Linked DNA regions of Macaca mulatta. The protein of the gene in region 1 purifies or fractionates together with the protein of each later gene. This does not show direct contact. Links are inferred from orthologs where the notes say so. Each region holds a gene or a part of one and is shown in the gene's direction. Other genes may lie near its edges.

Region 1 (7,624 bases):
TTAAAACATTTCTGACATTTTGTTTAACTTTCTTTTTGCTTTGGTCAGTCTTTCTTTCTCTTTCCTTCTTTCCCCCTAACTACCCTTCCCTTCCTCTCCCCTCCCCAGTTCTCCCCTGTCCTTTCCTTTCTTCCCCTCTCCTTTTGCGACAGGGTCTCACACTGTTGCTCAGGCTGGAGTGCAGTGGTGCTATCACTACTCACTGCAGCCTCAATCCTTGGGCCCAAGTGATCCTTCTACCTCAGCCTCTTGAGTAGTTGGGACTGCAGGAGTACACCACTATACCCAACTAATTTTTGTTTTGTTTTGTTTTGTTTTTGAAGAGATGGAGTTTCTGTATGATGACCAGGCTGGTCTGGAACTCCTGAGTTAAAGTGACCCACCTGCTTTGGCCTCCCGAAGTGTTGGGATTACAGGCCTGAGCCACCCTGCCAGGCCTCTTTCTTTTCTTTTTCTTTCATTATTTCTTTTATTTTTTTAGCTGCTCCTTGCTGAGCAGGGCTAAGGAGTAAGCAGTGGTCTGCCCCAATGTTTCCATTATGTTTCTTTTTCTTATTGCTTTGTAACAGCTTTTTGTATTTTGTTTATTTCATCAATCATTTCTTCCTAGATTGTAAATTGTCTTTCAACCTTACCTAAAGTTTGCCATAAAGAAGCTTTGTCAATTTTTAGCTGTTCTTTGAAGATTTTAAAACATTAATTGCTAAAAAAAAAAAAAACAGGGACAACAGAAAACATGGGTGGGCTACAAAGTATAACAAAGTCTTACGTAGTCATCACCATTTTGATCTCTGGTCTCTTGCAAATGTGCTTCAAACCCCAGCTTGGGCACTTTCTGTCTGATTGTAGGTATTTTTTTTTTCCTTTTTTTTTTTTTTTAAGAGATGGGGGTCTCAGGCTGGGTGCAGTGGCTCACGCCTGTAATCCCAACACTTTGGGAAGCTGAGGCAGGTGGATCACCTGAGGTTAGGAGTTTGAGACTAGCCTGGCCAACATGGTGAAACCCTGAGACCAGCCTGGTCAACATGGTGAAACCCTATCTCTACTAAAAATACAAGAATTAGCCGGGCGTGGTGGTGCGTACCTGTAGTCCCACAGTTACTTGGGAGGCTGACGTAAAAGAATCACTTGAACCCAGGAGGCTGAGGTTGCCATGAGCTGAGATCATGCCACTGCACTCCAGCCTGGGCGACAGAGTGAGAGACTCCGTTTCAAAAAAAGAGAGAGAGAGAGAGAGAGGGAGAGAGCGCGCGATAGGGGTCTCACTCTGTCGCCCAGACTGGCGTGATCATAGCTCACTGTAGCCTCAAACTCCTAGTCTTCAGCGATCCTCCTGCCTCAGCCTCCCAAGCAGCTGGGGTCACGGGTCTGAGCCACCTCGCCAGGCTGCAGGCAAATTTCTTAATCTCGCCAGGCTCCAGTCTTCCAGTCTATAAAATGGGAATAACAAAATTTGCTTATAGGAATTTGCGGAAATGTGTAGTTCTGGGTTTGGGTGAAGACCTCTGCCTTTCTCTGTAGTAGGTTCATAAATCAAATCACAGCAGTCAGTGTCCTAAAAACTGACTTTATCTGGGTTTTCTAAGTAGACGGTTTGAGGAGTGGTGGAGAAAAAATTTGAGAAGAAATTAAGATTTATTGAGTACTTACCGCCAAGTAAGGTGCACTGGATCATGTTAATCGTTAACTCGTGGAAACTCTTCGGAGTGTGTACGCTTTCTTTCTTTTTCTTTTTTCTTTTTTTTTTTTTTGAGATGGAGTTTCGCTCTTGTCGCCCAGGCTGGTGTGTAAGGGCATTGTCTTGGCTCGCTGCAACCTCCGCCTCTAGGGTTCAAGCGATTCACCTGCCTCAGCCTCCCGAGTAGCTGGGATTACAGGTGCCCGCCACCACGCCCGGCTAATTTTTGTATTTTTAGTAAAGACGGGATTTCACCATATTGGCCAGGCTGGTCTCGAACTCCTGACCTCGGGTGATTCGCCCGCCTCGGCCTCCCAAAGTGCAGGGATTACAGCAGTGAGTCACCGCGTCCGGCCCGGAGTGTGCATTATCCCAATTTTACGGGGAGTAATTGTGCTCACGGAATCCAGTTTTGTGGTCCCTAAGTCTAATCGGTTCACCACCAAGTCGCCACAGCGCGCCTCCGCACGGAAGCCCTCCAGGCACTTCTACTTTCCCCGACCCGCCTCCCGCTCCATCGGGTTACATGCGCCGTTAGCAGCGTGGGCGGAGTTGGTTCTGGCAGAACCAACTGGTCCGGCTTCTGGTGTCTCCCGCTCTCTCAATTAAAAGCCGGCTCCTTGCCTTTCGGCTTCCCCACCGTGCCTTTCGGGATTTGTAGTCAGACGCACTTCAGCCGGCTCTAAGGAGAGCAAAGACAAGACTCCAATTCCCAGCATCCCCCGCGCCGGGAGTGTGCATCGTCTATTCTAATCCTCTTCACTTTTCCACTCCTCCCCTTACCTCCCTTCTCTTCTGAATTCTCCATTCTGGGCTCTTGCCTGTGAAATCTTTCGTCGCTTTCCCCATCTTTTCTTCGCATTTTTTCACCATCTTTCCCTCAGTTTCCAGGAGCCAATGCGAGACTTTGGCTCCGATTAAGCGACGGCCCGAGACTCGGGGTGCGCGAGGAGGATCGACAGAGTGGTGAGGGGACCTAGGAGGGCGGGAGTGGGAGAGGTATGAGAGAGACAGGTGAGTGAGAGGCGAGGAGTGGGAGGAAGGCAGGGAGAAGCTAGGAGATCGGAAGGCGTGGGTCAGGGTGAATGGGGTGAACTAGACTTGGGAAGGGAAAAGAGGTGGCTTTAGATTTGGGAAGCATGGAGGGGAGAGGTTACCGCCGTACTTAGCAGAAGTGGGCTAAGAGATAGAAGATAGGAAGTTCGGGTAGATTTGGAGCTTATAGACTGATCTGACCAGGAGGGATGGAAGAGAGAGGTGTGGGCTCAATTTTCTTTGTCTCTGTTTAGCCGAAGATGAGACAAGTCATTGAAATACAAAATGATCTTGCAAACACAGGACAGTTGACAATTCTGTCACTTGGAGCAGAGGAAAGACTGGAGTTGAAGGGCAGAAACAGGGTGAGGAGGCAAGAAAGGGATGGAGATTGGTCAGGTTTTTGAGAAACCAGAGGAATTGAGTGTCATGGGAAAGGAGGCCACAGAAAAGGTGGGGTTATTGTGGGGACTCATGGATCTGGAATCAGAAAGGTCAGGGGTGACACTGGCATGGATGGTGGGGGTGCGCTTCTGATGTCTGCATTCCTCAGGTGATGGAGAGCACCCCTTCAAGGGGACTGAACCGAGTACACCTACAATGCAGGAATCTGCAGGAATTCTTAGGGGGCCTGAGCCCTGGGGTATTGGACCGATTATATGGGCACCCTGCCACTTGTCTGGCTGTCTTCAGGTGAGGATCCCCTTCATGGCAGGGAAATGTAATGGGGTCTGCGGACTGGAATAAAATATAACAGATAAAAGTGTAGCAGGCTGGGGTAGGGGTGGGGACTCGGGGTGCGGCTTGGAAATTGCTCCAAAGTGTGGGGGCCAAAACAGCAGGACTGGTAAAGTTGTGGTGGAGTGAGATGAGATGTTTGAGAGTTAATTGAGGGCAGAGATGCAGATACAATGCAGCTTCTGATATTAACCTTTGACCTCTGTCCCTGTTCAGGGAGCTCCCATCCTTGGCTAAGAACTGGGTGATGCGGATGCTCTTTCTGGAGCAGCCTTTGCCACAAGCTGCTGTAGCCCTGTGGGTAAAGAAGGAATTCAGCAAGTAAGTCTCAGCCAGATACAAATTTCTCAACAGCTACATTTCCCAAACTACTGTTCCTTGGAGCACTTCCAGGACGTATTAATAGGTATATCACAAAACTTAAAAATAAATACATTTGGGAAACTCTGCATACTGCCTTTTCCCTTTTATTTATTTCCCAGCTGACCTCTTGCTTTCAGATGTATCTTCCCTCTTACAGAGTTATGTGTGATATCTGTAATAAGGCTCTGATAGGTAATGCAGTAAAGAATTTGTCTTCAGATACTAATATCACTCTGTGGAACAGTGTTCCAAGGATCAGCAAGTTCAGAACAGGCAGAGAGGTGGCTTTTATGGTCCTCCTTTTTGTTCTCCAAATACCCTGCTCACCTCTCTGCTTCTGTTCCAGGGCTCAGGAGGAAAGTACAGGGCTGCTGAGCGGCCTCCGGATCTGGCACACCCAGCTGCTCCCAGGCGGGCTCCAGGGCCTCATCCTCAACCCCATTTTCCGCCAGAACCTCCGCATTGCCCTTCTGGGTGGGTATGTCACTTCTCTCTCTTCCTAAGCTAGGGCAGGGGAACTGCTGCTTATTAAACCGCTAATTACAGTTTGGGAGGGGGAGCTCCTGGGGGCCTCCCCGGAACCTTGTGGTCTCCACGTTGGGAGCTCCTTTAGGAGTAAGTTGGATCAGCTGCAGTGTGTGGTGTAGGAAATGTCCCCCACTCATGGCCCCTGAGGATAAGGGTGGAAAGATGGCAGAAGGGTGGCAAGGAACACAGACAGGGTTCCTTACTCTTTTTTTGTTGTTTTGTTTTGTGTGTTTTTGAGACAGAGTCTCGCTCTGTCACCCAGGCAGAGTGCAGTGGTGCGATCTTGGCTCAATGCAGCCTCCACCTCCTGGGTTCAAGTGATTCTCCTGCCTCAGCCTCCTGAGTGACTGGGATTACAGGCAACCACCAGCTAATTTTTTGTATTTTTTGTAGAGATGGGGTTTCACCATGTTGGCCAGTCTGGTCTCAAACTCCTGACCTCAAGTGATCCGCCCATCTTGGCCTCCCAAAGTACAGGGATTACAGGTGTGAGCTCCTGGCCAGGGTTCCTTACTCTTGGCCCATCCTGGCCTTAGGGGGAAGGCCTGGTCTGATGACACAAGTCAGCTGGGACCAGACAAGCATGCCCGGGATGTTCCCTCCCTTGACAAGTATGCCGAGGAGCGATGGGAGGTAAGCACTTGGGACTGTGTGTGTCTCTGCTTGTGCTTCTACTTCCCATGGCCCTTGGGGCATGGTCTCCCTGTTCTCTTCTGTTCTTCAGGTGGTCTTGCACTTCATGGTGGGCTCCCCCAGTGCAGCTGTCAGCCAGGACTTGGCTCAGCTCCTCAGCCAGGCTGGGCTCATGAAGAGGTGAGGAAACCGGAGGTATAGCAGCTCTCTGCAGTGCCATCTCCTTGGGTCCCTAAGAAATGGTATCTGCGGCTAGTCAAGCTCAGAGGACATTAGCTGGAAAAGGCAAGCTGAGTAGAATACAGCCAGAGATACAAAGAAAAAATGTGAGCGGACAAGTGGGGGTAGTAGTCTTTCTCTGCATATCACCGTCATTGTCCCGGTCTTTGTCTGTAGTACTGAACCTGGAGAGCCGCCCTGCATTACTTCCGCTGGCTTCCAGTTCCTGTTGCTGGACACGCCGGCTCAGCTCTGGTACTTTATGTTGCAGTATTTGCAGACAGCCCAGGTGAGGACGCCGGGGCCACTTGCCAGCATGCTCTGCTCCTCTCAGGTCTCACTGAGAGATTCCTGCCTACAGACTGTTCCCTGATTTTCTCTTCTCTGTCCCTTTCTTCCCATTGTCTCCCTCCCATCCCTCCTCCTTTGTCTCTGCCTCTTTCTCCCTAGAGCCGGGGCATGGACCTAGTAGAGATTCTCTCCTTCCTCTTCCAGCTCAGCTTCTCTACTCTGGGCAAGGTAAGCAGGGGGCTGAAGGGTATAGAGATGGGAAGGAAAAAGCAAATTGTGGGGCAGTAGAGTGAGAAGATAAGAATGAACACAGAACGAGCAGAGGTGGATGGAGAAAGACAGAATGAATGATGGGGTTGGGGGTGGGTGGGTTGTGTTTTGGACCCCAGCTGGAAACCTCTGTTCCTCAGGATTACTCTGTGGAAGGTATGAGTGATTCTCTGTTGAACTTCCTGCAACATCTGCGTGAGTTTGGGCTTGTTTTCCAGAGGAAGGTATGAGCGCCTAGATGAGTGGCTTCCAGGGAAGAAACAGGGTGGTGTGTTGCCTTCGCCTTTAAAAAGGAGTGGGGTCCCGGGGAAGTAGCAGGAAGCAGTTGCCAGAACTGAATACTTGGGTCTCTTGGGGGAGAGAAGTTGGAGGTTGAGGTTCTGCATCTTGGGAGGGATCTGATATTTCAGGCAGGAAGATGTAAGGCAGTGAATTCTGAGACAAGGCATCTGCCTTTCTATCCTTTCCAGAGGAAATCTCGGCGTTACTACCCCACGCGCCTGGCCATCAATCTCTCGTCAGGTGTCTCTGGAGCTGGGGGCACTGTGCATCAGCCAGGCTTCATTGTGGTGGAAACCAATTACCGACTGTATGCCTACACAGGTGAGGCGGGACAGAGTGCCCCGGAAGAGAAGGTTGGGGGTGAAGGAATGCCAGTTTCTGTTCATGTTTACCTGGCAGTTTTCAGAGCTCTCTGACATTTCTCATGACACTTGAAAGAAGGGCTTGAGGGAGTCTGGGTGTGGGGGTGGCCTCCTCATCCTCTTTCTATCCCTGGCTCAGAGTCGGAGCTGCAGATTGCCCTCATTGCCCTCTTCTCTGAGATGCTCTATCGGTTCCCCAACATGGTGGTGGCGCAGGTGACCCGGGAGAGTGTGCAGCAGGCAATCGCCAGTGGCATCACAGCCCAGCAGGTATTCCCACTTGGGAGAGGTAGAGCAGGAAGACAGGCTGCACTTGGGCTGTGGGGCACAGAGGGTCACATTATGGAAGGCTAGCTCTGAGTCTGTTATAATAGGTGGTGGTGAGTTGTCTGTGTTTGAAAAGAAATGAAGGCTTTGGGTGTGAGAACAGGTAGACTCTTGAGGGGAAAGAAACATAGAGGGAGGAGGTATAGCTGTGGATTTGTGCCTTGGCACCACCACCTCCTAACTGCGTAAACTAGACATAGTTGTTTTGCTTCTGTGAGCCTCAGTTTCCTCATCTAGTAAGTGACAGTTCTTACCTCAGGGTTGCAGGGATAATTCATTGGAAGAATAGGCGTAAAGCATTGAGCTCAGCACCTGTCATGCAATAAGTGCTTAAAAAAAAAAAGTAGCTTTTGCTATTTTAAAGAAAGAAAAACAAAACATTACTGGAAAGGGTGAATGTGCCAGAAAAGGAATATCCCAAGTTGCTGGGAGCAGCAACTTGGGATAACAGCTGAACTGGGATGGGTAGAGTTGATGACAGGAGTTAGGAGTTTTTAGAATAAGCTGATGTTCCAGTGACATTAGGTGACAGCTCAGATGGCTTTCCTGCCTTCTTGCTGGAGCCCTCATGCCATTCTTGTCTGTTTTCCTAGATAATCCATTTCCTAAGGACAAGGGCCCACCCAGTGATGCTCAAACAGGTACAGACAGGCTCCAAGATGTCAGAGGCTGGCAGCTGGTGATGAGATGATGGAAAAGAAAAAGGGGCATCCAAATCTGGGGAAGAAGCGGAGGGCCGGGTTGTCTGGGGCAGTATTCCTGAGTCCCTACAGCCAACCCTTGCTCCTTGCAGACACCTGTGCTGCCCCCCACCATCACAGACCAGATCCGGCTCTGGGAGCTGGAAAGGGACAGACTCCGGTTCACTGAGGGTGAGTAGCTTCTGGTGGCCAAGTCT
Region 2 (7,641 bases), on another chromosome or scaffold:
AAAAAAAAAGAACCTAAATAAAATTTGTGTTGAGATGCATGTGTTTTTAATCTTTCAAAATTATATATTATGGATGACAAATTATTTTCTCCTAAAAAAAAAAAAAGAAATGTAGGAAACTTGAGTTTGGTGGTTTTCTACACAGGCTGAGGTTCCATTTTAATTAAGAACCTGGTGCTGTCAGTGCTTTCCGCCTCAAAGCTCTGACCATTCCATGTTATTGACCCCCACCAGTGATAATGATGTGCATTTCAGAGTTTCTGTAATGTATGAGGCCCTAATATAGTAGGGCCTTTATATATGTCTATGTCATGTAATTTAAATATTACAGCAATTTAATGAAGTGTATTATATGCAGGAAGGAAACTGAGGTAAGGGAGGATTGGAAATTTGCTTCAAACACAGGTCTGACTGATGTAAAAGAAGGTTGGGCTCTTGTTATTGTATTATCCCGCCTCTTTTAGATAATACTACTGCCACTATACTAATGCTACTATTAATAATGGCCAGCAGTTACTAAGCTCTTACTTTATGCTATGTACTTTAAATGAAGTATCTTTTATTCTTTACAAGTACTATCCTGAACTTAGAATTGGGAAAACTGAGGCTTGAGGTCATATAAATCATGTGATAAAGCCAGCACTTGAATTCAACTCTCTTGGTACTAGAGACCAAATCTGTAAGTGCTATTTTCTACTGTCTTTAGGTCCATAAGTAAAGCTTATCTGACAGATTTCCAAGTCAGCTGTTGCTACTATCCTTCCAAGTTAGTAGTTTCCCACCTAGGAAAAGGATAAAGCTTGTAGCAATGCTACTTCTCACAATCTTTAGTGCTTTCTTTGCCTTAATCTTAAGTTTCGGGAGAAAGGAAAAGCAATTCACTTCACAATGTGGTTGGGGTCTCATCTTCAAAGACATAATTAAAACTGTCCTGGATAGCTGGGCATGGTAGCTCATGCCTGTAATCCCAGCACTTTGGGAGCCTGAGGTATGAGGACTGCTTGAGCCCAGGAATTCAAGACCAGCCTGGGCAACATGTGAGATCCCATTTCTTAAAAAAAAAAAAACAAAAAAACATTAGCTGGGACTGGTGGCTAGCACCTGTAGTCCCAGCTACTTAGAAGGCTGAGGTGGGAGGATGACTTGAGCCTAGGAGTTCAAGGCTGCTATGAATTATGATCGGGCCACTACACTCCAGCCTGGGCAACAGGAGACCCTGTTTCAAAACAAACAAGCAAACAAACAAAAACTGTCCTAGTGGCATTAAACTATAATGCCATCTGAGTGGATGACCTCAATGTAGTATTGGCTACAAATTTTATTTGCACATATAACATTCTTTCAACATAAGTTTCCTGTTCTGTTGAAATATAAAGGTACTAGAGTGGCCTTTGTTCTTGAAGAGCTTCACTCTGAATCATGTAACTGGTCTGGATGTGGTCTTTCAATAAGACAATAGCAGCAGCATAATAAGCCTCCAGGTCAGCATAGTAGCATAGTATTTTGTGTTACCTATTTTAGTAAGTTTACGTTTGGTTAACTCCTGTTGAGGAACAATATGATGATCAAAGAGATGATATGGTTTATTTACTAGATGAATCCTTGATGTCTTCATACTAATGTAAAGCTCTGTCACAGCCTGCTTTGATCTGCTCGTTCCTGGGTGTGGTATCCAGCTGTTTGTCAGCGTCCCTCTCCATACCCATGGAAATCCCAACTGTATTGGGTTTTGGGTTGCCTACCAGGTTCACTGTTTAAAAATGTGAGTTGGAATGTTCCTTTTTATGTTTTTATTGAAAAGAACACAAGTTCTATGATGAGTTAAAATTACTATAAATGCATATAGCTCATATTCATTGTATAAGATTAGTTGAAAAATCTTGTTTTCTTTTTTTTTTTTTTTTTTTTGAGACGGAGTCTTGCTCTGTCACCCAGGCTGGAGTGCAGTGGCCGGATCTCAGCCCACTGCAAGCTCCTCCTCTCGGGTTCACGCCATTCTCCTGCCTCAGCCTCCCCAGTAGCTGGGACTACAGGCACCCGCCACTTCGCCCGGCTAGTTTTTTGTATTTTTTAGTAGAGACGGGGTTTCACCGTGTTAGCCAGGATGGTCTCGATCTCCTGACCTCATGATCCGCCCGTCTCGGCCTCCCAAAGTGCTGGGATTACAGGCTTGAGCCACCGCGCCCGGCCAAAAATCTTGTTTTCATATTGCCTTCTGATGGAGTTTGGGTCAGGTGAAGGTGGTTACAAAAATGACACTAAAATTTTCACATTACACTATTGTTTGATAGTCATTCATTAATTCTTCACTTAGTCTACTTATTAAATATCAACAAATCTTTATTTTGGAGATGAATAAGATGTGTCCTTTACAGTGGGAAAGTTTATTATTTAATAGAGCTGTTTACAGACTTCAATTTGCCTTCTTGATAAATGTGATGAACATGGTTTACAATTTACATAGATATTCAGGCTATCAGATCTTGGAATTGCTGAACTAAATTCTTCTGTATGTATTTTTTTTTTTTTTTTTTGAGACGGAGTCTCGCTCTGTCGCCCAGGCTGGAGTGCAGTGGCCGGATCTCAGCTCACCGCAAGCTCCGCCTCCCGGGTTCACGCCATTCTCCTGCCTCAGCCTCCCGAGTAGCTGGGACTACAGGCGCCCGCCACCGCGCCCGGCTAGTTTTTTGTATTTTTTAGTAGAGACAGGGTTTCACCGTGTTAGCCAGGATGGTCTCGATCTCCTGACCTCGTGATCCACCCGTCTCGGCCTCCCAAAGTGCTGGGATTACAGGCTTGAGCCACCGCGCCCGGCCATGTATTCTTACGTGATTTTATCCTAGGTATTTGGGGAAATAAATACTGTCTGATGGGGGAGTAGATAGCTTTTTCAAATTTTATATCTGCGAATGCATATTATCAGCCGAGCTTACATGACTATGCAATTATAAAGAAGTATAAAGCACAGGCTATTAAGTGGTCCAAAAGAAAATAAGTACTCTGCTCATAAATCTTTGAAATCATGGGAATGTTTCCAGACAGAACAAGATGGAATTTATCTTCCTAATTGTGACACAGTACCTTGAAAAACGCAACTGGGTGCGTGGAGACACGGATTTGTGTTTAATTTGCCATTTTAAAAGTTCCCCTGTCAAATTCAAGGTATTAAGTTGCTTTACGGAAGGCTAAGACCAAGCTCTAGATGCAAGACCGGGGAACTGACTGCCGGAACGTTTGTGTTGCAGCGCCTCGCCCCTGGCCGGTGCTCTTTCGCGAAGGGACCATCTCTGCCAAGCGCCTGTTGGTAGGAACCTGCTTGGTCGCGTCTGAGGGGGCTTGTAAGGTGGCTGTGGCTGAAGCAGGCGCCCGGGGGAGTCTGTAGGAGGGAAACCGCCATGGATGATCAGGGTTGCCCTCGGTGTAAGACCACCAAATATCGGAACCCTTCCTTGAAGCTGATGGTGAATGTGTGCGGACACACTCTGTGAGTTGGGCGGCAGTGGATTCCCTGGGGGAGAGACGTGCTGGGTGGGAGGAGAGGGCCGGGAGATGCTAGGCCTCGTTTTAGTGGGAGCAAAGGGCGTTGGTGTTGTTGAAGAAGTTTGGTGGTGTTGAAGTTTCAACATTGGTGAGGAAATGGGAAAAGACGGCGTTGTGGCTTTAAATGGACGGTAGCCGCTAGCCCCGAGCGGCTCTGGCATGCTTTGAACTGCGGGTTCTCAGTGTGGCTCCCAGCAGTTTGTCAGGTTCCCTCCTCCATAGCCAATGAGTAGTATCCCGACTGTATTTCCAGGCTTTGTGGTGTTTATTGGGCTCTAGACATCGCTGATTAAAAGCGTGGGGGATTGGAGGGTTTATTTCATATGAAATGTTTTTATTGAAAAAGTGCGAAAGTGCTATGAAAACTTAAAATTTGCTTGAGTATATACTGCTGCTATTTATTGTATGAGTTAATTAAAAAACCCCATGTGTATGCCCACTTGTCCTGATGGAGTTCGGTTAGACTCCCATCATTAAAATGAAGAAAACCCGGACTCTAGGTAGTTAATTTTGAAGATATAATAATGGCTGGCATTTGAGTGCACATTTTGTGCCAGGCAGTGTTCTAAGCGCCTTACCATGAATTATCTCAGTTCATTCCTACAACAGTCCCATGAAGTAGGTACTGGTATTTCCATTTCACAGGGAAGGAAATCGAGACTGCTCAAGGGCCCTTATTAAGTGGGCCTTGAGAGAACTGGAACCCAGGAAGTCTGACTTTAGAACGCCCATTTTCAAGGGAAGGGGGTAGAAGGAGGGAGGTTGAGTTTGTGTATTTTGAAACAGGAATTGGTCAAAGTGTTTCTTGCCAGATTTCTTGTCAGATGTGGTTTAGTGAAGGTGGTTCTAGAAAGCACTTTGGGATAAAAAGGTGCCATGTAATGGTGAGCACATATTCCTGTAGTTTCTTTGAGGTTTATTGGAGGCAAAAAATAATGGATAATCTACAGTGTGTAGACAAGGTCTCCTCCCAATCCCCAAATGCTGACAAAAACGTAGAGCAATGACAGGGTCTTTAGCTAAGCATAAATTACATGATTAGCTGTAGCTATAATTATTATATGGGATTTATTAGCTTACTTAACTTTTCTAATCTTTATTTTCCTTTGCTTTACTCTGCAAAGGAAGTATAGTAGAGCTGTGATTGAATGGTTTAAGATTAGAAGTAAGGTAAAAGTAATCAAGAAGAATGCATGGAAAAGGGAATTCTATGTGGAAAACACTGTAGATAGACTGTTTTTAGAGAGATTTCGTTCAATTTCTCTCCATTTTTCTTTATCAGGTTTGTTATAGTGGAAACAGGAAAGTGGAACAGGAAAGAGAGTTTATTTTTTTGGGAAGGATGCTAACTAAATGTAATTTACCAGAAGGATGCTAAATGTAATTTTCTGGCCTAGCAGCAATTAGCGTTCAGGGAGGATTATATGATTTCAGTTAACATAAATGGCATTTTCATTAGGCAATTATAAAATATTTATTTTAATTGAAATTGCTTTTGTTGTGTCCTCAGCCCTTTTTGTTAAGGTCTAAGAGTTAAGACTTTTGTCTAATTCATTCTGGTGTTGCATTTAATCTGATTAATTTGCTAACCTGTTAGATAACAGGCTACATTTTACAGTCCTTTTTTGACTTGAAATGTGAACAAAATGAGTAAAAGGCTGTAGCATATTGGCTGAGAGAACAAGCTTTGGAATGAGCCTGTCTGATTTCACATTCTTTTACCGGCTCTGTGGCCTTAGGCAAATGACTAACTCTTTGTTAGCAGTTTTTCTTGTTTGTACAATAGAGAAAATATTGCTGCTTGTATCATGGTCCTTAAGTATTAAATAATATATGTAAAATATTTAGAGATATTTAGTAGAGTTTCTGTCACATAATATTTGTTTACTATATATTGGCTATTTTATTATTAATATTCTTTGCGTGTGGCATGGGTGATAAGTAGAAATAAAATTAAAACAGGACTTACTTGGCCTGCTATGAAATACTTGCACAATAATGATTAGCTTTAAATGATTTCGGTACACTATAAAACATGAAAATACAGCTTTGATTATAACGACTCTGTTGTAATTTTCTTTAGCATGTTGACTATCTAATTAGTCATCTTTTTAAAGAAGTACTTTAAGCTAACACACTGCTGTTTCTGAATGGAGGCGAGAACTCACTGATTTTTTTGGCAATCATTTAAAAAAATTAAAATTATATAAACAATAATAAAAGCAACCTAAATTATTAAGTGAAAGGTAAACATTTTTGTAGTTCACCCCAGGAGGCGGAGCTTGCAGTGAGCTGAGATTGTGCCACTGCACTCCAACCTGGCAACCGAGCAAGACTCTGTCAAAAAAAAAAAAAAAAAAAAAAGTTTCGTGGTTCACTTCTCCAGAGGTGACAACTTTTAGGTTGTTTGTGTATATTTTCAGATATTTTCTATGCATATGTAAACATGGGTGTGTTTGGGTAGAAAACTTTTTCTTCCTTTAGCATAAACAGGAATATAGCAGAAACATATATATGTGTGTATATATGTATATATTTCCTTGCTTTTTTCATTATGTATATTGGATAATCTCTCTAGATCAATATGCATATGTTTTTTTCTTTTAACAATTTGATAGTAGTCCATTGTTCAAATATAATTTATTTACCCAAATTTTAAAAATTAATATTTATTTAATTTTCAGTTTTTCCCTGGAGTAACCATCCATAAATATGCATATATTTATATCTTTGATATCTTTATATATATATCTTTGAGCACTTAGGCCAGTATATCATAAGATATAACAGGTAAAAATCACAGGGTAATGTCCAGTAGTAGAATTGTTGGGTCAGAGTTTCTGGCTTTTAAATTTGATAAATATGGCCCAGTTGTTCTCAAAAAAGATTATGTCAAGACAGGCATGGTTGTGCCTACCTGTAATCCTAGCTACTTCGGGGCTGAGGAGGGAGGATTGCTTGAGCCCAGCAGTTCCAGACCAACTTGGACAACGTAGGGAAACCCCATCTTTAAAAAAAAAAAAGATCTTGTCAATTATGTTCCCAACAACTGTATGGAGATTCCTATTGCCAATATTGGGTAATAGTATTTTTTAAAATCTTGCATTTTAAAAGATGTTTAAAAGCATCTTATCAGATGTTTTTCTGATAAGAAAAACATCTTGGATTTTTTTTTTTTTTTTGAGACGAAGTCTTGTTCTGTCACCCAAGCTGGAGTGCAGTGGCATGATCTCGGCTCACTGCAACCTCCATCTCTCAGGTTCAAGTGATTCTTCTGCCTCAGACTCCCAAGTAGCTGGGATTACAGGTGCATGCCACCATGCTCGGCTAATTTTTGTATTTTTAGTAGAGATGGGGGTTTCACTGTGTTGGCCAGGCTGGTCTCAAACTACTAACTTGGTGATCCAGCCACATCCATCCTCTCAAAGTGTTGAGATTACAGGCATGAACCACCACGCCCGGCCTGAGATGGAGTTTTGCTGTTGTTGCCCAGGCTGGAGTGCAATGGTGTGATAGCTTACCGCAACCTCCGCCTTCCGGGTTCAAGCAATTATCCTTTCTCAGCCTCCCGAGTAGCTGGGATTACAGAGATGCACCACTACGCCCGGCTAATTTTGTAGTTTTAGTAGAGACGGGGTTTCTCCATGTTGGTCAGGCTGGTCTTGAACTCCCAAACTCAGGTGATCTGCCCGCCTCGGCCTCCCAAAGTGCTGAGATTACAGGTGTGAGCCACTGTCCCCGACCTCATCTTGGCTCTTAATGAAAAATTTTTTTGATACTTCGTTGGGTTTTTATAGCATGTATTTCATGGGATTGAATATAGGCATTTTAATAATATGATTGTTAGCTTGAGAGGAGCAGGTATTATTTTGCTGAATGATTCTGGCTCAGTCTTACGATGTTGTAGTCAAGTTGTTGGCTAGGACTGCAGTCTGGACTTGACTGGGCCTGGGGTATCCGTTTCCAAGGTCACTCATGTGGCTCTTTTCAGGAGGCTTCAGTTCCTCCCCATGGACTCTTCCATAGGTCTACTTATGACATGGCTTCTCCCAGAACTAATGATATGAGCAGAGGTGAGGAAGGTTGGGGAGATGGAGCGGG

What was found. The genes of interacting proteins can lie anywhere in the genome.
Region 2: the proteins of GTF2H4 (region 1) and MNAT1 purify together in Homo sapiens (co-immunoprecipitation; 3 studies listed by BioGRID and IntAct, with this or other methods). This does not show direct contact. The link is inferred for Macaca mulatta from reciprocal best matches to the Homo sapiens genes GTF2H4 and MNAT1.

Annotation. Positions count from the first base shown.
Region 1 is NC_133409.1:152,142,785-152,150,408, reverse strand, and holds the start of GTF2H4 (general transcription factor IIH subunit 4), read left to right. Parts: upstream 1-3,269; coding exon 3,270-3,406; intron 3,407-3,667; coding exon 3,668-3,772; intron 3,773-4,160; coding exon 4,161-4,292; intron 4,293-4,878; coding exon 4,879-4,975; intron 4,976-5,066; coding exon 5,067-5,155; intron 5,156-5,371; coding exon 5,372-5,483; intron 5,484-5,644; coding exon 5,645-5,713; intron 5,714-5,895; coding exon 5,896-5,979; intron 5,980-6,225; coding exon 6,226-6,358; intron 6,359-6,538; coding exon 6,539-6,669; coding exon of another isoform or gene 6,670-6,688; intron 6,689-7,319; coding exon 7,320-7,367; intron 7,368-7,499; coding exon of another isoform or gene 7,500-7,519; coding exon 7,520-7,598; intron 7,599-7,624. UniProt on the Homo sapiens protein: Component of the general transcription and DNA repair factor IIH (TFIIH) core complex, which is involved in general and transcription-coupled nucleotide excision repair (NER) of damaged DNA and, when complexed to CAK, in RNA transcription by RNA polymerase II.
Region 2 is NC_133412.1:133,859,481-133,867,121, forward strand, and holds the start of MNAT1 (CDK-activating kinase assembly factor MAT1), read left to right. Parts: upstream 1-3,315; 5' UTR 3,316-3,395; coding exon 3,396-3,484; intron 3,485-7,641.